Linked DNA regions of Caenorhabditis elegans. Each later gene encodes a partner of the first gene's protein in a complex. Each region holds a gene or a part of one and is shown in the gene's direction. Other genes may lie near its edges. The genes, in order: unc-83 and unc-84.

What was found.
Region 2: unc-83 (region 1) and unc-84 share a complex: the UniProt entries of both Caenorhabditis elegans proteins name them as parts of the unc-83-unc-84 LINC complex.

The regions. Positions count from the first base shown.
Region 1 is NC_003283.11:6,460,188-6,470,270, forward strand, and holds the start of unc-83 (Nuclear migration protein unc-83), read left to right. Parts: upstream 1-4,877; 5' UTR 4,878-5,025; coding exon 5,026-5,097; intron 5,098-5,246; exon of another isoform or gene 5,247-5,446; intron 5,447-6,199; exon of another isoform or gene 6,200-6,380; intron 6,381-6,817; coding exon 6,818-6,916; intron 6,917-7,777; exon of another isoform or gene 7,778-7,986; intron 7,987-8,122; exon of another isoform or gene 8,123-8,262; intron 8,263-8,405; exon of another isoform or gene 8,406-8,545; intron 8,546-8,756; exon of another isoform or gene 8,757-8,905; intron 8,906-10,083. UniProt on the Caenorhabditis elegans protein: Cargo-specific adapter that is involved in nuclear migration during development and thereafter.
Region 2 is NC_003284.9:13,579,861-13,592,385, forward strand, and holds unc-84 (Nuclear migration and anchoring protein unc-84), read left to right. Parts: upstream 1-4,914; 5' UTR 4,915-4,919; coding exon 4,920-5,116; intron 5,117-5,610; coding exon 5,611-5,891; intron 5,892-5,943; coding exon 5,944-6,772; intron 6,773-6,831; coding exon 6,832-7,274; intron 7,275-7,332; coding exon 7,333-7,596; intron 7,597-8,076; coding exon 8,077-8,232; intron 8,233-8,283; coding exon 8,284-8,741; coding exon of another isoform or gene 8,742-8,753; exon of another isoform or gene 8,754-8,811; intron 8,812-8,816; coding exon 8,817-9,137; intron 9,138-9,189; coding exon 9,190-9,462; intron 9,463-9,522; coding exon 9,523-9,636; 3' UTR 9,637-9,961; downstream 9,962-12,525. Other genes in the region: F54B11.11 (CUB-like domain-containing protein), read left to right, coding at 11-248, 296-527, 758-1,090, 1,140-1,617; srf-5 (WAP domain-containing protein), read left to right, coding at 2,342-2,414, 2,465-2,611, 2,661-2,740; col-9 (Nematode cuticle collagen N-terminal domain-containing protein), read left to right, coding at 10,175-10,342, 10,496-11,347; col-44 (Nematode cuticle collagen N-terminal domain-containing protein), read left to right, coding at 11,638-11,805, 11,855-12,525. UniProt on the Caenorhabditis elegans protein: Involved in nuclear migration and anchoring in hypodermal precursor cells. Most likely recruits anc-1 to the nuclear envelope where anc-1 functions to tether the nucleus to the actin cytoskeleton.

The DNA.
Region 1 (10,083 bases):
TTTCTAAAATTTTGGCAATGGTGAAATTAAAATTTTTGCTGATTGTATATTACAGAGTTTTTCTGAAGAAACATTGATTTATGAAATTACATAAATTTCTCTTTTGGCAGAAAAGATTGATCTCTTTTTTTTTCAAAGATTGATTTAATAATTTTCAAAATATTATTTTCCCCTACAACTATCTCTTACACGACTATTCCCCTTCATGCTCAAAAGTAAGTAGTTTTCGAGAAAATAATACGCTTCTCGCAATGCTCTATGCTACGCAAAGACTCCGCGAGCCAAAGAAGCTACCGTTTGCGTAAGGTTTAACACGCAGATTGCTCATTTCGCGCATGTGCGTGAGTCTATCATGACGAACAGTCGCCCTGTGAATTGCCACCCACTTCGTGCTCATTTATAGATTTGTGCACTGATTAGAAGACACTTGATTTGTTTTTTACTTGTTCCATTCAATTGTAACTAAACAAATCTTTGTTCTTTTCCTCTTTTCAACTTTTAATGTTGACATTCTGTGTCTTTTCACTAATTGAACAATCTGCTAATTGCAGCAGCATTTTTTGTTCTAATGGCTTTGAGAGGCGATAAAAATAGTGACGTCTCTTACAACTTGTTCCCACTTTTTTCCGTTCTAGATCTGTTTCGTCTACTATATTTTAAAATTTTTCCAACTGCTGATATAGTGAAATTTTAAGAATGAATCTATAATAATGTTTTGAAAGCAAATTTTTTGTACCTCTAAATTCCCCAAAAAATTAATTATTTAGGTTTTCAAAGATTCAAATAGAGAATATATTTTGCATCACATAGATTCTTAAAGCACATAAAAAATTCCAAAATTTATTCAAAACGATAATATTAATATTGGAAGTTTTCTCTTCTCTGTTAAAGTTTTTCATACCTAATTAAAAAAAATAATTTTGAAATTGCCTCTAGTGTTAAATATTGAGTTTTCGCTTTTATATTTTTCAAACGTTTTGAATAAATATAATAATTTTTGGTATTTCTCGTGCGTTTCTTTCTATTCTTACTATAACAAAAAACCTAAAATAACGTATTGTGGATGTGCATTAAATTCATCAGTAGTGAAAATTGAAAAATTTCTTCAATGATTCATAACATTTTAACTAGAAAATAAGCATACTCGGATTAGATAACTTTTCGGTTTTTGATGTTTTCCCGTACAAGTCCAGTTAAAAACCAAAAAAGTCACAACTCAGCACATAATAAAAGAAGTCATCGTGACCATAAACGGGTCCATTTTACGATCTCGTCGCTCGTGATTGCAGCAATCATCAAGTCGCAGTTTTTACGTATTTCCGCGACCACCGGTGTACCTGCTTTTATTTTTGACCGAAAAATTGGGACATCACAAGAAAAAGCGTTAAACCAAGCACTATAGTGAGCTATAAATCTACCTGTTGGAATGTCTCTGTTCACCTTTTGAATTGCATTCCACTCCCTGTCCCCGCATGTTGACCACCCATTCAACATTGATTCGATTATTATGATGGTAATTTCGTATCAATGTCGGAAATGTAATCCGAATCCCTTCTGGATGAAATAAAAAAAATAGACGGAATGGAGAAAGTGTGTAGGAAGCATTGGTTTGTTGTCTGAATCATCTGTACTACCGCCATCAGCCTCACCCTTCACAAAGATCATTCCAGCTTCCCATTTTTCTTTTATCCGCTAGAAATGAAGCGTATGGAAGGTGATTTTTGGGGATTATATGTACTGTTGTATTGGACTGTAACAAAGTACGTCTAGATTCTGCTAACCTAGAGGCTCTTGAAGTTATTTTCTCTCAACTCCATTTTTGGTCCGCTTTTTAGAGCTGCAAATATTTCGAGCACTTGTTGACAATAAATAAAGTGGTAGTTTTTTTATAACAGCACAGTTATAATAGGCATTTGGCTCTAGTTTCTTGGCCAAGCTTGGCCCAAAAATATTAGCTTACTATTAGAACAAAATTTGGTAAAACTTGGGGAAGAGTTGGTTTAGGCTATGATGAAGTGTAACCCAACTTTGGCCGAAGTTTTGTCCAAAATTTTTTTGAACTTGGCAAGAGTTTGACAAAAAATGGGTCAAACTTGACCAAATGTTTCCAAAGTCTTCCCAAAACTTGCCCATCGTTTGCCCAACTAGTCCCAACTTTTGACACAATTTAACATTTATTGAGTTCAACTTAGATAATTAGCTAGAGCCAAACTAAACATGTTTTTGACATTTGTGATGCTATCAGAAAATTATTTTTATGCAATTAAAATAAAATAAACACTACTTACTAATTTTCTATAGAACCTCGTGTTCCTTTCAAAATTACAATACGATCCATCTTGTTCCCACAATCACTCTGCTTCTCAATCATCTGTCTATCTATGTCAGTCTCTATAAATATATTCACATGATCAATTTCTCACATTTGAAAAAATTGGCACCCAGCCAGCAATGTTGCACTGTCTTCCTCTCAACCCTTCTACTCCCACACGCTTGCCCTAGACTATCATTCTTCAAAAAGAAAACTAAAAACAGCTCGATAATCGAATGTGTGTCTCCTGATGGTTCCCACGTCGTCAACACAAACTGTTTGACTTTTTCAATCATGTCTTTGACTTCTTCAACTGTCTGCGTTTCTTCCACACATACACAAATTATCATTTCTTTGTCGTTTTTTGTCTTGGTGCTGACCGCCTTTAGTTACAGGCGCCCGTTGTTTTCTTGCATTCCTGCCAATTTTCACAGTAGCAATCGAGATAGTATCAGGTGGTAGTAAATGTTTACGTGTCGACTGAGTTTTTCAACCTTTATGACTCCATTGGCATAGGAGTATCAAGTAAATTATCAATGAACTGATTAGCATCATGTTCATTTTGAAGATGACATTGTTTGAAAGGTTTTCGGAGAAAAGGAAGTATTCTGAAATATTGGAATTTAAATTAATTTCTATTAATGTGCTTACAATTAATATTGAAATTTTAAAGTGTTTTTGGAAATTCTCTGCTGGCATTTGAACACTCAAAATTCTTCAATTAACTGATCAGCTCAGGCATAATTTTCTTTTGAAAACTTTTTAATGGCTTTACGCATTTTGAGAAGGAGCTGAAGTTTTCTAACTGTTTTTGAAAGTGTTACCCCTCTATGAGTCACTGGGGGCAAACGAGAAGCGCAGTTTGGGCGACATTTTGTTGCATTATCAAATAAAAACGGTTGTCTCTTCTTTTTTATTATCAACCAATGCAGAGCCAACATTCTACCAAATTGATAGTAATGCAAGTACTTGCCGTAGATTCCCTCAAACATTTGAGACAAAGGGCCTAAATAGTTTTAATTGTGAAACAAATTAGACACGACGTTCGAAGTTTATTCTGCAGTTTTGGTAATGCGTTGTAATTTTGATGTTAGTCTAGAAACAAATGTTTTCTTTTTGAAATTTTGCAATGTTCTTCAGAATATTTCAAGTATGAAATTTCTAAATTGTACTTCAAATCATTTCTAAAACTCGTAAAACATTCGGGCACTACAAAGTGTTCCTTTTCTACTTTAGTATCACAATGTTTCGCACATTGGTGATAAATGAGCCGGGGCTGTCTGCCGTTTCCGACTCCATTAACTTGGGTCCATTATCCCATCGTTTCACTGTGTTTCTATCACATTTATTGGGGGAACTTCCTGTTGCAACAAAACCAATAAATTCGAAAAGTGTCAGGGCCATGTGCTGTTGGACATCTATTCGTGAACATTTTCAAAATTTCGATTTGTTCCTTTCCAGTTTTCCATAGATTCAATTTTAATTGAAAAATGAATGGGTGGAAACTTGAATTTAAAAAAAAGGAATTTAATTCAATTTTCAACAAGTTCAAAAATATTTTTTCCAACGTTTTGTTAATTGATATTTTCCAGAACTTTCTAAATCAAGTTACATTTTTTTTGAAAGCTACAACCTATTTTGTAGTAATTTGGAAATTTCTTGGACCTCGTTGTGATAATTTCCATAAATTTTGCTTAATATTTTTTATTGGAAATCACGAGACTTTTTCACACAAAATAAAATCTTCCAGCTGATTTCCCTGGTCCAATCTCTTTTTTATCACTTTCACACCTATCTCTTCATATTTTCATATCTTCATAAATCTTCATAAAAATTCATAAAACAATATCTCCATCATAATTATCATCTTTTATTATTTTATCAGGTGTCGAAAAGAAACGAAAACTGTGTGAATGACATGATAATCCATCATCATCACAAGCTTCTCTTCCCAACTCTCTAGATTCTCCTCTCTCATCAGTATTATTGTTTATTAAGGCGGAGACTTCGGATTGGGGGGCAGATTTCGAGCATCTCACACTTTTCTATGTTTATCTTTTAATTTGCGAACATTTTTGCGGGCGATGGCTTGTTGTCCAGGGCATGAAATCCATGGATTTTTATTTGGATTTTCAAAAACTGGCCTAACAAATTTTATGGAAACCGTACTATACATAAGTAAAACATTTATGAAGTTTTTCGTGTGTTTCTACATTTTTATTAAAAACATTTTTTATTATCTTTAAAAGGATGTTTTACTGCTCGACACAATTTTCATAGATTTTTGGTAAACTAGGCTAGTTTTGAATTGAGTATATATTTTGCAAATTTTCTATCCTCAATATGACTTGAATTTCCGTTTCTTGACTTTGATCTCAACAGAAATCTCTTCTTGAAATTTATTTTCAGCTCCAATGAAACAACTAATCTCTTTTTCTTTGTTTTTCACGAAATTTTTCCTATTTTGTTCTACACACAAAAAATTGTATATACTTTTTCTATTTTTAAATTTTCACCTCATTTCGTTTTGATTAAGTATTTTTCCGTCTAAACTAAATTTTTCCAGATCCGTTTCTCATCCGTGATCATATTGCGCAGATGCGTAATTGATCGTCCACCCCTACCAGTACAGTATCCCACGTCTGGATACAAACTTCTCTGATTTTTTTATTTTTATTCCTGGACACCGAAAGTAACCCGAAAACAGGTTACGAATGGACGTAATGGACTCATTCTCGGAGGTCGAGATGCCCAATGATATATCATCGGAGGACCATCTTTTGAAGGTGAGGCAGAGCTTTAAATTTTACGAAAAAAAAATACTTTAAAATTTTCAACGCATTTTCTTGCATATTGAATTCATTTGAAAAGTAAAATTTCGTTAAAAGTAGGAGAAAAAAAATTAAAAGTTCGATTTCTTTATTCAAACCAAAGTAGAATGTAGTTTTTTTCTAAACCAAAACGAGCGAAAATAATTTTATTTTTCAAATCTATTTGATTATTGAAAGTGCCTTTTTGAAAAATGCTTGAGCATTTACCCTTGCGCCATCAATTGTTTGCAAAAAGCTGTCAAAAAGCCCGAGAGGCCGAGTTTTCAATTTTGGCGCAAAAAATCCCGAATTCCACGCTATCTTTTTTTTTCTTTCGATTGACTAAAGACGAACGGCTGAAGTTTTTTTTCGCTGTGCTTCAAAGATTTATAACTGGAGGTGGAAAGAGTTAGTGTCGCACATTCAAATTCCGCATCGTTTAGTTTTTCTTATCGAATGTTTTGATCTGGTGGGGGACGACGAAGTAAATTGAATTGAAAACTGTGGTTATCTTGAAAAGAAGTTTGAAGGAGAAAGTGTAAAACTATTGATGACGGGAGTTTAAATTTCAAGAGATTTTAAGACATTCCCATATTTCAGTGTGCGAAAATTTATCATTAAAAAATATTAATTATTTCTATGTGCTAAGTACATTTATTAGCAAAAAAGCGCAGAATCAAGTTCAGACAACATAATTATATTGATCTTCAGAGATTTTGCACATAATTTTGAGAGCCATTTTTCAGGAAAAACATAAAAGTTATCAAAATTGGTCCGCTAAATGATGTGTAAAACCTTTAAAATGCGATACTTTTTAATATTTAAAAGATTCGCATGAGAAATAATTGACTGACACCTTAGGTTCCTTGTAAAATATTTCATTGTATTATTAGTAAGTATAGGTATTTCCCAGATTTCCTTGTTAAGGTACCGCAAAGTCAACACATTCATGGACACCTTTTTTTGTTGACTTACCCCATATTTCTCTTTTTGTTTCCAAAAACAATATGCGGACCATTGAATCCTCACGCCATTCACACACATTCCCAGAGCGCGACTACTAGTAACTTTGTTTGGCAAAAGCTGTTAGTAAGAAGAGAATGATTCCGAGTGCCCAATACCATAAGTGTTTCTCGAGGTGCGCATCTCGGCAGTGAAGAGCAACTTGCAAGTTCGAGTGCATTTCTCCAAACTTGGTTGTTCCTACACAACGATTCCTGTGCCATGTTCCTTGATCCTCTCAATTTTGGCAATTGAATCGATTAACGTCAGGTTTACTCTTCGTTTTATTGCAAAGTGGGCCGCCCGGAAGGTCGAGAAATCGTAAATTGACTCGGAATTACCAATTTTACAGTCACACTGAAAGCAAAGCACTTCTTTTTGGTAGAGCGGGTGGCCATTGATTGTCGTTAAATCGTTTGTGAGGGTCATTTAGAAAAATGGGCGCATATTTTAATTTTTCAGAATAATTTTGACAATTTTAAATAATGAAAATAACAAATTACATTTTTTTGAAAATCTTGTTTCACCTTTTTTGGTTTTTTATTTGTATCAAATTATAAACTGTTTTATTAAATTGCACTACGCAGCTGTACAAGATCGAATTGCGCGTGTACAACCATCGTTAAAAATATCTCCTAGATATCTTTCCAGCTGTTACTTTGCCCATTTTAATGATCAATAATTTAATTTCCAGGTCATCGAATCGTCGGCTGAGGAAGTGGATATCTTTTTGGAGAACTGCTCCTCGCTCTACAATTTAATCCTCGACTCGTTGCACAACCTCACCTCAAAAGTAAGTCTTATTTGTTTTATTGCTTGTGTCGTTTGGTTGCCATGGATCAAGTGAAACTGGGAGAGTAATTAGGTGTAGCTGGCCTCAAAAGAACCTCCTGTTTTTCTCGATTTTCTTCTAGTTTTTCTTTGAACAAAGTTTTTTGCTTAGCCCTCTGATATCAAGATCAAGTTTTGCAAACTTGAGGCAGTTGTCCATTTGATTGAGCAAGAGATAGCAATAGTTTAAGGGGTCATCAATTATCAAAAAGAGAAACGTTACGAGCCTGTCAATTGAACACAAGCCTGGTACGAAAATATTACGGCAGATGTGGTGATGGATAACTGAAAACATTCACTTGACAAGCCTTTTGCCTGTGCTTTAGGGAATTTTTGAATCTTCCAAATACAGTTTTTACATAAAGTTTACCAGAATTAATTTCTGGTTGAAGTTTCAAGACTTGTTGATCTAGGAATGATAAATTAAAATAAACCCTTCCCATTCACAAAAACATAGCTAACTTATTCTTGCTCTAACTAGTAAGTTTTGTTCACTCCATGAACTACATCTAAATTTAAGCGGTTAATCATAGAGTAAACAACAAAAAAAAACCAATTTTTGAAGGTATAAAGTTGTACTTCTCAATATCCGATGATTAAAATTTTTAAAAAGAAAGTATCCTCAAATCGTTTGCTCTTTTTCAATGAGATAACAAATGACCACTGCAACTCATCTCTCTGTGCTTCTTATCCTCCCACACTCATTCAATATACTCACCCAATTTTTGTGGCAATTGCCGTTTGTTTGGAAGGTCACCCATTAATCAAATGTAGTTGGTTGATTGTGCAACCTCTACTACTAAACATTTTGATGAAGATCCTTCATTTTATCTGCCACTGACTCCTGAGAAAATGCCACACATTTCGATTCAATTAGCTTTCCTAAATTATTATACCAAATAGTATCGAATAACATCTCGCCCCCCGAACCACAGAAAAGTGGCCCCCAATAGTGTGCGCAGTTTTGCCGTTCCGAATGAAATTGGAGATTGTTGAGAACCAAGAGATAGATGGGAATTGAGTTGAAGTTATTGTTAGAAATTTTAAACTTTTCAATGATAAATTTTGACACAATAGGGGATCAGGTTGTAATTAGAAGATTACCAATTACTTTTTATTTTCATCACTCCAAAAAAGTACAACTGAATTTTTCAAATATCTAGTGGTAACCCGAAAAACTCATGTCAACTTTCTGAATCCAAAAATGCTGCAAATTTCTTGTCAAAAATGCTGTCCACAGCAAATCCCCAATGGACGTGTTCCGATTGAGGCAGTGTTTGCTTACTTGGGATGTGTTACTCTCGTTTTCTTATTCGAACGTCCTCCTTTTCTTTTGGGGAGTAACATAATCCCGTTCAGACAGACACAGATTGAGCAGATCATTTGTTTCCTTTTAAGTGGGTTGGCACATTTTGCTCTTTATTTTTCGCTTTTAGATAACTGAGATGCTAATTTTTTTCAGATCACTTAACTTCTTTAGTGAACTTATAATGTTGTTTTTGAAAAATTGTTTCCAAATTCTCAGAAAAAGATATCAGAATCTGGATATTTTCAAATTTTAGAACGAGGCGCACTTTTATGTTTTTTTCAAAACTTTTTCAATGTTTTTTTAACTGATTTTGTAAAATTCATTTGCCTTAAATATCAAATTTTTTGAAGCAAAACATAATGAAATTCTTCTCAAACTTAAAGCCTTCCATCTTTAGTTCCAAAATTCGTTCCGCATTGAACAATAACAAGATATAGGGGCGCGAACATGCGTGAAGAATACGAGAACAGTAACGGAAGAAGAATAAGGAGAAAAGACACGGAGTCATCTCATGTTTGCGGATTGTTAGTTATACCACCATCGGGCACCCGAGTTGTCGTTGAGCATGCTTAGCGACAGGAGCACCAGCGGTACACTTCACGCACCCGATACTCGTCTTATTCGTCCACTCGAAGGGGGGCTTAGACTCACTGTACTCTTCGTTCTAGGTTAGAGCATTAGGGCAAAAACTATTTCATGAAAAATTAGAAAATTTTCGAGGAAACCTCTAGTTTCCATTGCTGGGTTTCTGTCTTTGTCTCTGGTTCTCAGCCATCCTTCTGTTACTTCTTATTTTTATGGCATTATGTTTTCGCGTTTTGGCAAAAGTCTTCCTCGATTTTACAACCGCCACATGTTTTGATATTGTTGCACATTTACTCTGATTACATTCCGATCTTACTCAAAAGCTTTCACATTGCCTGTCATCACAAAGTGCCTTCTTCTTCTCCTCCTTCCTCATCTCCTAATCTAAATTAATGAGTTTTGATCGGACGTTTCCATGGGGGTGTGTAATAAAAATAATGAGCTGGTGTGCTCTTTATCAACAGGGCCGATCGAACCACTTACCGCCATCCATCTTCTGATCCGACTTCCACCACCACCACCATCACCTTTCTTCAATTCCGTTGCTTTTCGTTTGGAAGTGTATTTTGGAAATATGTCACATTATGTATTCATTAGCAAAACGACGCAGTCCGTTGGTCTGTTTGACAGAGAGCTGACAATATGCATCATATCCATTGAAACTGAACCCAGTGGAGAAAAGAAGCATTGTTTCACTGAAATGACTCATTCTCCAGGTTGTTTCTTCTGTTCGCAGCGTCGTTGGTGAAAGTTTTTGTTTTAGCAATTTTCCAATTTCGGCATTTTTCTACCAGACCCTACAGTTACCTACCTACTTGCACAACTCAGTTCCAATGGAAACATTATTATAATTGTCTTATAACCTTATCAGTTTATGCAAATAGTGTTCCCTTTCCTTGGTATGTTCATAACTAATGTTCCAGGCAGAATTTGTATTCTCGACATCACGTTTTGAAGAATTTTCTACAATTTTTAAATAGTAACCACATAGTAACCACTAAATAATAAACACATATTTGTTACTACCACATTTCCAATATTGAGCCGGAAAGCTGACCACTTCTTTTTATTTTCCGCTTGCTTGAACAACCACCACCTCCTTCATTAATTTTGGGTCACCACTACTAGTTTGCCCGTCATCGTAGTGGGAGAATGAATGAGTTTTTATCGTGGTATGATGAGATTCTGCACATCTGGAGCCCCCCGCACACACACACATACCACCCGGTGCGCGG
Region 2 (12,525 bases), on another chromosome or scaffold:
CACAATTCAGCTTGCCTTGACTCTGGCTGCTAACACTGCTGCGGAATCACTCAAAAATCTCGATCGGTATATGCTTTATATTGGAACTGATGTGATGCAGTATCCAGCAAGTGGAACTCTTGCAGATTTGATAAATGGGACACAGTTTTACGATAATGGAAGGATGTATTATGCAAATTGGATAACAATTGTGAATTTTTATGATGACTTTAAATCTGATGCCTATATCATTGCAAACGATGGGCCTGGTAAATTTCTATTTGTTTGTAATATCCTAGAACCGTTTTCTTTTTAGAAATTACAAGCAGTTATCAATTTTTCATAACTCCACCAAACAATTTTACATCTAAAGTTTTGTTTGATGTAACCGATGGTGGAGGAGCAGTGACATTTGCGTGTCCAGATTGTACCAATTTTTATATTAATCAGCTAGTTTTTGACACAATGCTAACATCACCGAATGGATATATTGCTTTTCAAGGGAATACTCCTTCTCAGATTTATATGGCAAAGGTCATCAATTATAAGTGAGAGTTTTTTTTGGTTTTTTTTTTGAAAACCTAATTTTCATCATTGTCTTTGATAGAAATTATGGCATTTTCAACGTTTGCAACTTACTGTAATTAATATTTAGAATCATTTTTTGAATAATCAATAATTATAAATTTAATTATATGCTACCAATTCATTTTGAGAAAATGTGTGAATTGTGTATAAAAATATAACACTACTAGATTAGCATTACCTATATTTTCAGCGCAACTTCTTTCAATCCAAATCAGCTACCTCAAATTATACCAACTAACAAATTCACTTTGCTGATGTATAAATCTTTATTCACTATTGAGCTATACAGTGGTGATGAATATTCTGCATGGAAACAACCAAGAGTAGGACGTACTGGACTAATTTCGTCGGTGTCATTATGGGAGACTGTATGGGATTCGGCGACTTTCCAATATGAAATTCGAGACGATAGTCAATTGTACAATTTCAATGTGAATATAGATAATATGAATTTCACTGGAGTTAACTTCCTTAATTTGTGCATTGGTTCGGGACCAGGGTACAATAATCAAGTGAATTTGACGTGAGTACCATCAAGATTGCAGTTATCTACAATATTATGGTATTTACAGATACCCACCAGCATTGAACAGTAGTGTGACATCGATTGGAAACTATTTGACAACTTCTGCAAATTTTACAATGAGGGGTTACATCACACTTTACTATGAAATTACTGCGGCATCTGGAACAACTACGCAACCTATTTTGAGCACCATGACTAGCTCTACAACAAAAACTTTAACAAGCACTACAACCATCACTACAACAAAAGCTAATATCTTGACCACGACAGCTACAACTACGACACCGCCCGTAACTTCTGCTCCAGCCACAACCTTTATTACGCCTGTACCATTCACACCACCAGTCACGAACTCTACAACAATTTATTCCTCTAACACTGGATCAACGTTGTCCACTACTATAGGCCTACCCATCACTCAAGTATCCGTTCAGACAACAACTCAGACTGCCCCCTTGAAAGTAGTTTTATTGAATGTATTGTCATTTGTCCTGATAGCTGAGCTGTTTAAGAATTTGTTGTAGTGAAGAAGATTTACTAAGTTTTTAAATTGATCAGATTAATATGTCGAACAAATGCTTTTCAATAAATCACATTAAACCAATCAGCGACAACTTTGTTGTGTACAAAAAATTCAAGCGTTCTTTAAACTTTTTTGATAATCAAAAGAAATCATTTAAAGGATTATAAAGGATTAAAGGACGATCCGTTCTTCAAGTGCTGTGCACGGAGTCAGGTACACTGCCTGGCGGTGCTCCCACTGTGCTATGGTTAAAGCCATGTCCTAGCCGGGGAATGTAGCCGATAATCCAGTCGTGGATTGCTTCACTTCCCACTAGAGGCTGGTGAACATTGGGGGTAAGGCTGGACTTGAACTCGTGACCTCCAGATTGCTAGCGGCCACCACTACCGACTGTGCTATCCTGACCCCCATATTTTGTAATTTTATCTTCCTTCTTTACTGTGTTTGCTCATAACGTCGTGAACTTAACATTGCAAAAAATTGAACGCTTGCAACGTTTCTGAACGGAAATTTTGCATGTGATCAGGAAGTGTTACAATATCTTCAAATTTTGGAATCTTGCCCCCTAATATTTTCAATTCATATTCTCCCAGCTAGATCTTAACTGGAACTTTAAAATCTAGAGCGACCTCATTTTTGCGTGCCAGATAGCAATCTCGACTGTTCCTCTTCTTCCTTCACAGTTTTCCTTATTCATCCCATTCACCGGGTCACTTCACTTCAATATGAGAATCATCATCATCTGTCTCATTTTTCTGGCATTCTTGGTTAATCTAGTGGATAGTGTATGTAAAGCAGGTTAGTTGCCATTTGTATTCTAATCCATCAAACAAATTCGATGTTTGTAGAGGATTACTGTCCCGGAGGTTGGAATGTGATGAGAAAGGCAGATGATACCCCACAGACTTGTGACGCAATGGGCGGAGTCAAATGTCAAAAACCGTATTCGTGTGTGCATTCTAGATGTGGAATGGATTTCTGTTGTGCTCACACTTGTAAGTGCAAATATGAATGTTGAAAGTAAATCAAATTGTGCTTTTCCAGATAAAATTGACCAATGGAAGCGACAACAAGAAATTGAAGCCGACATTAAAGAAGCAGAAATGGAAGATGCTGAGCTCTGAAAATTGTTCTTTATTTCGTTTTTTCCTCACGTTTGAACGTCAATGTTTGCTCATTGCTCTCTTGGATTAGCTTTATTTGCAGAAACGTTTTTCACTTTTCCTATTCGCTCAATTTCTTTTTTTTTTCAAACTTTCTCCATAAAAAATATTGTGTTTTATTTTTGAAAACGAAGCAAGTCAAAAGGACGTTATTGAGAAAAAGAGTGAGAAAAGTTCACACCGATAATTTTTTACTCTAAAGCGACAAACATAGTTGAAGTGGATGAAATTTGAATTTCGCGCGCACTGACTGTTATATAAACTTGTTTTTTTTTAACAAACAGAAAGTTTTGTATTAAAAAAATCAATCTAGAAAATGAAAAACTTGAGCGTCTACTTAAAATTATAATAAATTTTCAAGCATATTCTCTCATTTTTCAAAAAAATGTTCAGTTTCTCTTTTAATTCCTCAGTATGCACTGCATTATAAGCTTTGATGTTTTCCCCATTTAAACTACTCCCTCTTTAAAACATATTTAACACTTGATTACCCATCAAAATCCCGATTAATTCGATCAAGATGTTTGGAAATTTGAGAATGGGAAATCTGATTAGTTCTTGATAAATTTGGTTTTTATATATTTTTTTAATATTTTTCACTCTGTGAATAGACATGAAAATACAACAAAAAAATTTAAAAATTGAAAATCTTCTGGAAAACTTTTGAATTAGTTTTTCAAAAAGTTGGCAGTAGGCTTCAAAAACTCAAAAAATTGATTTCAAAAACTCAAAAAATTGATTTCAGTTTGAAAAGCGGCATTTTCAATATTCTAGAAGAACCTGATTTCAATTTTTAAAAGTTAAAATTAGAAAAAAGTTTTGCTATAGTAAATAAACACCGTAGTTTTTGTTAGTTTCATAACCATGTGAATCCAATAGATCACTGTTCAAAAATTGTAGAAAAAGTCAACAAAAACAACACCAGAGATCAGAGCCATGCGATTGATTTGAGAATTTAAAATCATTCAAACCTTCCACGCAGGCCGAAGTAACTGATCTGGAAGTTGTGCTTTATAAAAAAAACAGACATAGTTCAGTACTTAAAGCGGAAAACATTGTGGACACGCAGATTGTGCTTGTGTTTTTGGTTGAGGGTTTATTTTACTGATAGCCTATATCTGACGTACTGATATGTATTTCATGTTCTTCTACAAACGTTTATTGAAAACTAGTAACTTCTCCGTATCTGCTCTTGACTGTGTCTAATCGTTACAACACTTTTCAATTGGGCTTGTAAATTAGCCTCAAGGTTACGTGGTAAGGCGAGACACACTTCCGATTCTTTCACAGTACTTCTCACCGATTTGTTGCCCATTGCAATGATGCCTAATTCCTTCGGCCTGTTTACGTGTTTAGAGGGCAACACGTAGATGCATGTTCTTCTCTGGTGTTCTCTCTTCCCATCTCACACTCCCTCACTCGGTTCCATCGCTTGTCACCGTACGCCAGACAACTACTCTCTACAAAAAACACACTGCCTCACCCCCTCTCCCCCTATCTGCTGTCCACCACCTGCACCATTCGGCGGGGGTGATGGCGATTGGAGACTGGGGTGACCGACCGAAACCATTAAATCGACGCTCACTGTTGCGTGTATGTGTGTGCCCTCCCTTTCTCCTCCTTTCGCCCAGAAAAACACTCACACAAACAATATCGATTCGAGTATAGTGTGCAAGGTGAAGAGACGGAGGGCCCGACGGGGTGAGCACACAAACAACATTGGTTTGAATTTTTTCTGCCTTGCGATGTTTCGAAAAGTTGCGTATTTAATTTGTTGTGATGTGATATGTTTTGTTTTTTTTGCCAGTTTTTTTCTCTTAAATTTCATAATAAAATCAGGCAGTATTATATATTCTTTTCTCAGCCCATCAAAACCAACAGGTGATTATAATCGTGAGAAACACGAACGTCTCCCAGTCTTCTTCCTTCTCAAGCCCTTTTGTCTTCATAAAAGTGTTTGCTCGTTCTGTAAAGCGCACAGATTTTGGTGCGATGAATCATGCGTAGTTCAAAATCAAACAAAGACAGAGACTCGATGCTTGCAAGTTTTGTTACTTTTTTATTCTCACTTCAATACTTCTTTTTTCACCGCTCTTTAATATCTTTAATATCTTCCTTAAAATTGTGTTTTGCAGGTACTATGGCTCCCGCAACGGAAGCCGACAACAACTTCGACACCCATGAATGGAAATCGGAATTCGCATCCACACGCTCTGGACGCAATTCTCCAAACATTTTTGCAAAAGTTCGCCGGAAGCTTCTCCTGACTCCACCAGTTCGAAACGCCAGATCGCCACGTCTTACCGAAGAAGAGCTGGATGCTTTGACAGGCGACTTGTATGTTACCCCCCTCCCCCTTTTTCTCATTCAAATTTCGCGCCACATACGGCCGAGGTTTCACGCGCACCTGCTAGGCCACGTTTTGTTTGTGTATTTTGGAACTCAGTTTGCTTGTACTTGACGCCCTAGAAGCCTTTGACAAATATGTAAAAGCTGTGTTGTTCTGAGCAGTGAGGTGGAAAAGAGGAAAAGTAGAACACCAGAAAGTATCGGGTTACAAGGGTGGGTTAAGGCGAAGGAATCTGAGCGGGAAGAAGAAGAATAAAGGTCACTTACCAGTGAGCTCTTGGTGGTTCCGTTTCTTTTTGAGTTTTAAGTCTGTGTGAATGTTGGTTGTTTAATTTTAAATATGTAGTGTTTACAAGTCTTGTATAAAAATTAGAAAACCAAGGCGAAACGAAACCTATAATAGAAGATTAACTTTTCCTGGCATTTTCAAATGTTGAACTTATATTCCTAATGTAATAAAATTTTCATAATTTCTTTTTCAGACCATACGCAACCAACTACACATACGCATACAGCAAAATCTACGATCCATCCTTGCCGGACCACTGGGAAGTGCCAAACCTTGGTGGTACTACTTCAGGATCACTCTCTGAGCAGGAGCACTGGTCAGCGGCCAGTCTCAGCAGACAGCTTCTCTATATCCTCCGTTTCCCCGTCTACCTTGTTCTTCACGTCATCACCTACATTTTGGAAGCTTTCTACCACGTCATCAAGATCACTAGCTTCACCATCTGGGACTACCTGTTGTATTTGGTGAAACTCGGTAAGTTGTTTTTCTGCAAAATGTTAGAATTAAAAAAAAAATTTTTTTTCAGCGAAAACTCGTTACTACGCCTACCAAGATCATCGTCGCCGTACAGCTCTCATTCGCAACCGGCAAGAGCCATTCTCCACTAAGGCTGCTCGTTCTATTCGTCGATTCTTTGAGATCCTTGTCTACGTCGTGCTTACTCCTTACAGAATGCTCACAAGAAGTAACAATGGCGTGGAACAGTACCAGTACCGTTCGATCAAGGATCAATTGGAAAATGAGAGAGCTAGCAGAATGACGACAAGATCTCAAACATTGGAAAGAAGCCGCAAGTTTGATGGATTATCGAAATCACCAGCACGCCGAGCAGCTCCAGCCTTTGTGAAGACTAGTACAATTACCAGAATCACTGCCAAGGTGTTCTCGAGCTCTCCATTCGGAGAAGGAACGTCCGAAAATATAACCCCGACTGTTGTGACTACTAGAACAGTGAAGCAACGCTCAGTTACCCCAAGATTCCGCCAAACCCGTGCCACTCGTGAAGCTATAACTCGAGCACTCGATACTCCGGAACTCGAAATCGACACACCACTCTCCACATATGGACTTCGAAGCCGAGGACTGAGTCATCTGAATACTCCTGAACCAACTTTTGACATTGGTCATGCTGCTGCAACTTCCACGCCTTTGTTCCCACAAGAAACTTACAATTATCAATACGAAGAAGCGACAGGAAATAAGATTAAAACTGCATTCACTTGGCTAGGTTACTTGATATTGTTCCCGTTCTTTGCGGCACGACATGTATGGTATACGTTCTACGATTATGGAAAGAGTGCCTACATGAAGCTGACCAATTATCAGCAAGCGCCAATGGAGACTATTCATGTCAGGTATGAACATTTTAAATTTATGATGACCGAGTTCAATTTTTTTCATGTTATTTATACAGAGATATCAACGAACCGGCACCAAGTTCATCAGATGTTCATGATGCTGTTGGTGTTTCTTGGAGAATTCGAATTGCCGATTTCTTGAGCTCATTCGTAGCAACAATCGTTGAAGCGCATCAAGTGGTATTTGCAATGTTCAAAGGAGGAATTGTTGAGACAGTTTCCTATTTTGGAGGACTATTTGCTGGTCTTACCGATAAGAAATCATCAAAGTTCTCGTGGTGTCAAATTCTCGGTCTACTTCTGGCTCTTCTCTTCGCCATCTTTCTCCTTGGATTCCTGACATCTGACAACACAGCAATAAGAGTTAAAGAAATTACCAAAGATAAGAATGCATCTAAGAAGTCGGAAGGATCCCTCCCAGCTGTGCCAATCTGGATTTCAGCTGCAAATCACGTTAAACATTACACATGGATGGTGAAGGAATTTGTTGTAGATATTGGTATGTTATAAATCTCATTTTTCTGTTCAGTGTAGAAAACAACATCTTTAAATTCCAGCATTTGACACGTACAACTATGGAAAGTCGACGATTGGTAGACTTGGCACTACTCCACGTTATGCTTGGGACCTGATTGCAAGCGGATGTGGCGCTGTTGGAAATGGCTTAAAATCTGTGCTCTCATCGAGTTTTCGATTCATCGATTTTTGTGCTGGAAAGCTATTTTACTATGGCTCAGATGGGTTCTTGTCAGCAAACAAGTCTATCGGAACCTTTTTCAACGGTTGCTACGAGACCTTGTACAACGGATGCACAGCAATTGGTAAGGAAAATACAAATTGTATGCAGTCAAAATGTGGTAAAACTTTAAAAAATTAAAATTCGATCAATCCATTATGCTGGAAATCTTTAGTAATTTTCAACATCTTATCAATGGGACATGAGTATTAGCTTTTATTTTTCAGAACAGTAATTTACTTGGTATTTGTGAAATAGAAAACTGAATTCCAAAATGTTTGTAACGAATGAAATAAAATGGAAATAAAAGTGTTGAGCAACATGCTAGTATTATTTTATTTTTCAGGCTTAGAACTTATTAACTTTTTGAGTTATTAATTGAGTAGAATCCTAAGCCTAAAATACCATTCACGTTTTATTTAATTTTTTTTGAAACATCAAAAAACTTTTGTAGTACCAGCAAGTACCATTTACACGTAAAAAAATGATATTATCTGTTTTCACTATTTGTATTTACAACAAGAAAGACACTACAAAAAACCAAAGAAAATCGCTTTTTTTACAGTTGGCCATACAAAGAGCTTCATCTACAATGCTTCAAATGCTGTTTACAACTTTTTCTCAACTATCTTTGCCGGTCTCTTAAACTTTTCTACTTCTTCCCAAAACTCCATTCTTTCTCTTCTCAAGTCATTTGGCACCGGAATCACTAACATTTTTTGTAAGTGCTACAATTTTCAAACTATAAACTTAAATGGTGTTTTTTCTTCAGATAACTTCATTTATGCACCAATCGCTGGAGTGTTCAACTTTGCTGGTGATAACTACATGTATTTCTTCAATGAGGTAGCGGCAGTCTTTGGAAAAGTGTACAACTCCGTGGTTTCCGTGCTCAAAACTGTAATTAACTGGATTCTCTTCCTCATTGCCTACCCATTCAGTTTGTGCACTCGTGCTTGGATTCGCATCAGCCAATATGCTCCAGAAGATGTTGTTCAAGTGATTCCAATTCCACAAGCTATTACCCCAACTCCGGATGTGGAGCGTATTGTTGAAGAGCCACTGAGAAAAGTCACCGATGTGGAGGACGAAGAACTAGTGATAATTCCCGCCCCCGCACCTAAACCTATCCCAGTCCCAGCGCCAACTCCGGCCCCAGTAATTATCCATCAGACTAACGTTGTTGAGACTGTTGACAAAGATGCTATCATTAAGGAGGTAACGGAGAAGGTAACTAACTAATCAATTATTGAATGATTGATGTTTTGTACATATGTACATAATAAAGATTTTTGTTATTTTTAGCTTCGCGCCGAGTTGTCCGCCCAATTCCAGCAAGAGCTTAGCGCAAAGTTTGAGCAAAACTACAACACAATTATTGAGCAACTGAAAATGGAAAACACCAACATTCAATATGATAAGAATCATTTGGAAGCTATCATCCGTCAAATGATCTACGAGTATGACACGGATAAAACTGGGAAAGTTGACTATGCCCTGGAGAGCTCAGGTGGAGCTGTTGTGTCAACAAGATGCTCGGAGACGTACAAAAGCTACACAAGGCTGGAAAAGTTTTGGGATATCCCAATCTACTATTTCCATTACTCTCCAAGAGTTGTCATTCAGGTGAGCGCTTTAGGATCCTCTGACTCCAAGCCTATTATCTTTTCATTTTCAGAGAAATTCCAAATCCCTGTTTCCTGGGGAATGCTGGTGCTTCAAAGAATCCCGTGGCTACATTGCTGTCGAGCTGTCTCATTTCATTGATGTTTCTAGCATCAGCTATGAGCACATTGGATCAGAAGTTGCTCCAGAAGGGAACCGGTCGAGTGCTCCAAAGGGAGTCCTCGTTTGGGCTTACAAGCAGATTGACGACCTGAACTCGAGAGTTTTGATTGGCGACTACACTTATGATCTTGATGGCCCGCCACTTCAATTCTTCCTTGCCAAGGTAAGTCCGAATGATTAATTCTTGACAAGTGTGTGGCTATTATCGAATTAACATTTTCAGCACAAACCCGATTTTCCTGTCAAGTTTGTGGAGCTCGAGGTGACAAGCAATTACGGAGCTCCGTTCACATGTCTCTACCGCCTTCGTGTTCATGGAAAAGTTGTTCAAGTTTAATTTATTTTGTTAATCTTGTTTTTATGGTCAAATTTTCAATTTCCATTGATCTGATTCCGAAATGTTTCAATTTCACCCCTCTCCTGCCAATTTTTCAAATCACAATTCATTTTCCCAAATTTTTCCAGTTCCCTTGTTATATTTTTAGCGCGTGTCCATTTTTTTTCAAAGTATAGAATATCATTACATTTTCATGCAGTTTACCGGTCTCCTGAATACTTGGCCTGAATATATTTGAATGCAAAACCAATCACTCTCTATTTCTCTGCAGCCTTTACCCCCTGATCTCAAAATACTTTATCGATTTTCATAAATTATTTCAATATCTTTTGTTCTTGTAAAACTGAACTAAAACCCATTATGTGGAAGAGTGAATAAGTGTTAGATTGGCATAACAAACCGTAACCGATGGATTCGCAGCAAACGACATTAATTGAGTATACCGCCTAACACATTCATTGATCATTTCTTTTGTATTCCTCGGGCTATATATACTAAACCATGCGAGAGCGTTAACATTGTATTTTCTTCAATTTTCATGGAGTCCTGTGTAGATTTAAAATTACGAATTTTCAAATTTGTGGCGTACTCTGTCGTTGGAAGCTCAGTAATAGCTACAGCGTTTCTTTGTGTAACACTACCGTTGATTTACGAGCATGCACAAAATGGAATGATGACTATTAGCAGAGAAGGAGCATATTGCAAGGTGAGTGATAAACTAAGCATTAGTAATGTTTTGTGCTGAAATAGTTTTTAGTAGTGTATACCTGAACATTTTAGTAATTGAAGTTCTTCCTAGCAAAACATAATTGTCATTTTACATAGAAGTTTGCGGCAATTAAGAGTATAATATTTTCAGAAGTCTATAAACGAAATCTGGTTTGATATGACCGAAGATGTCGACATCGTCCACAATCGAACAATTCGCGAAGCTTACACTGTTACTAGAGGTGAAGGTAACACTGGTTACGCTGTTGGAAGAGGAAGCAATATTAAACCCCGCGGCTATAATACTGGGTATAGATCCCAGAAAAAGAAGAATAATGGTTGGAGAAGCCCACCACGCAGCGGAATTGTTGTTGCGTCAGAAGGAGGAACCTGCATGGGATGCTGCAATCCAGGTCCTCCCGGTCCATCTGGCCACCCAGGAAAACCAGGTCGACCAGGAAGACCAGGTGGTCACGGGATGCCAGGAATGCCCGGACTAGGCGCATCGCCTTGCCAACCTAGAACTCAATCACAGTGTCAACAATGTCCACAGGGACCCCCAGGCCCTCCAGGTCTGAACGGACAGCCCGGCCTGCCCGGTGGAATGGGGCCACCAGGTCAGTCAATGTCAAACGTACTACCAGGACCTCTAGGACCACCAGGACCGCCCGGGCAGCCTGGTAACCACGGTTTGGCAGGGCAACCAGGAAGTCCTGGACAATCGGTGCTGGGCGGAATCGTCGGGTTTGCTGCACCAGGCCCAATGGGTCCTCCTGGACTAATGGGGCCACCAGGCTTGGATGCACAAAATGGAGCAAATGGCTTTGGCCCGCCAGGACTGCCAGGACCACCAGGACCACCAGGAAGACCAGGAAGCGACGGTAATCCTGGAGTTCCAGGGCAAAGTGGTGGATCAAGAAGACATGGAGAAAAGGGTGTTTGTCCAAAGTATTGTGCCATGGATGGAGGAGTATTTTTCGAAGATGGCACTGTTCAGCGCTAGAAATGTGTTTTCTCATATTTATAAAAAATGTCGTCCGTTTGAAATTTTAAGAATAAATTCATAAAGTATAATACTGATTCACAATCTATTGGCATTATTTATTCAATCTGATTCATAAGGTGTAACTATTCTCTAAATAAACCGAATCTATTCAAACCATCTATTTATCTTGATCGAACTACCAGTTTGCTAGCATTCAATTAAGAAATTCATAAGACAGTGAATAGTATAAAAGCCTTGCGAATTAATAATAAATCATTCAATTGGGGTGCTGTGGCTCTAAAAATATAATGGAGTGTCCAACTGATCTTCGTCTAAAAGCTTATCGTCTTATTGCGTACTCAGCTGTCGGATTTTCAATCACCGCTGCTGTTTCACTATGCTTGGTTCTTCCGCTCATATTCTCTTATGTGCAAAACACGAAGACTCAACTTAAAAAAGATTCTTTGTACTGCAAGGTGAATCGACGGTCTCTTTAACTAAACATTTTATATTAAACCTTTTCAGACTTCTGTGCAAGATATGTGGGCCGAAATCAACAATGAGGTTCACGAAATCACAGTGAACAGAACTGCAAGACAGGCTGGATACACTTCGGGAGGAGGAGCCGACGCTGGTGCTGGTGCTTCAAGCGGCGGTCAATGTGAAGGATGCTGCAATCCAGGTCCACCAGGAGTTGCTGGTAACCCTGGAAAGCCTGGAAAACCAGGAAAGCCAGGAGCACCAGGAAACCCGGGTGCACCAGGAAAAGGAGCAGCTGTTCCATGCGAAGCCAAGACTCCACCGCCATGCAAGCCATGCCCAGCAGGACCACCAGGACCACCAGGACCAGACGGACCAGCTGGACCAGCAGGACCAGACGGAGAAGCCGGTTCACCAGCCGCACCATCCCCACCAGGACCACCAGGACCATCAGGACCTGCAGGGCCTGCAGGAAACGACGGAGCCGCCGGAACTCCAGGACCAGATGGGCCAGCTGGAGAGAGCACCTATCCAGAGCCAGCAGCACCGGGACCAGCCGGACCACCAGGACCTGCTGGACCACCGGGACCAGATGGAGCCAGTCCAACCGCTGCCCCAGGAGCTGCCGGACCACCAGGACCACCAGGACCAGCTGGAGCTCCAGGACCAGACGGAAACCCAGGAACAGCAGGACCACCAGGAAAAGCTGGAGGCGA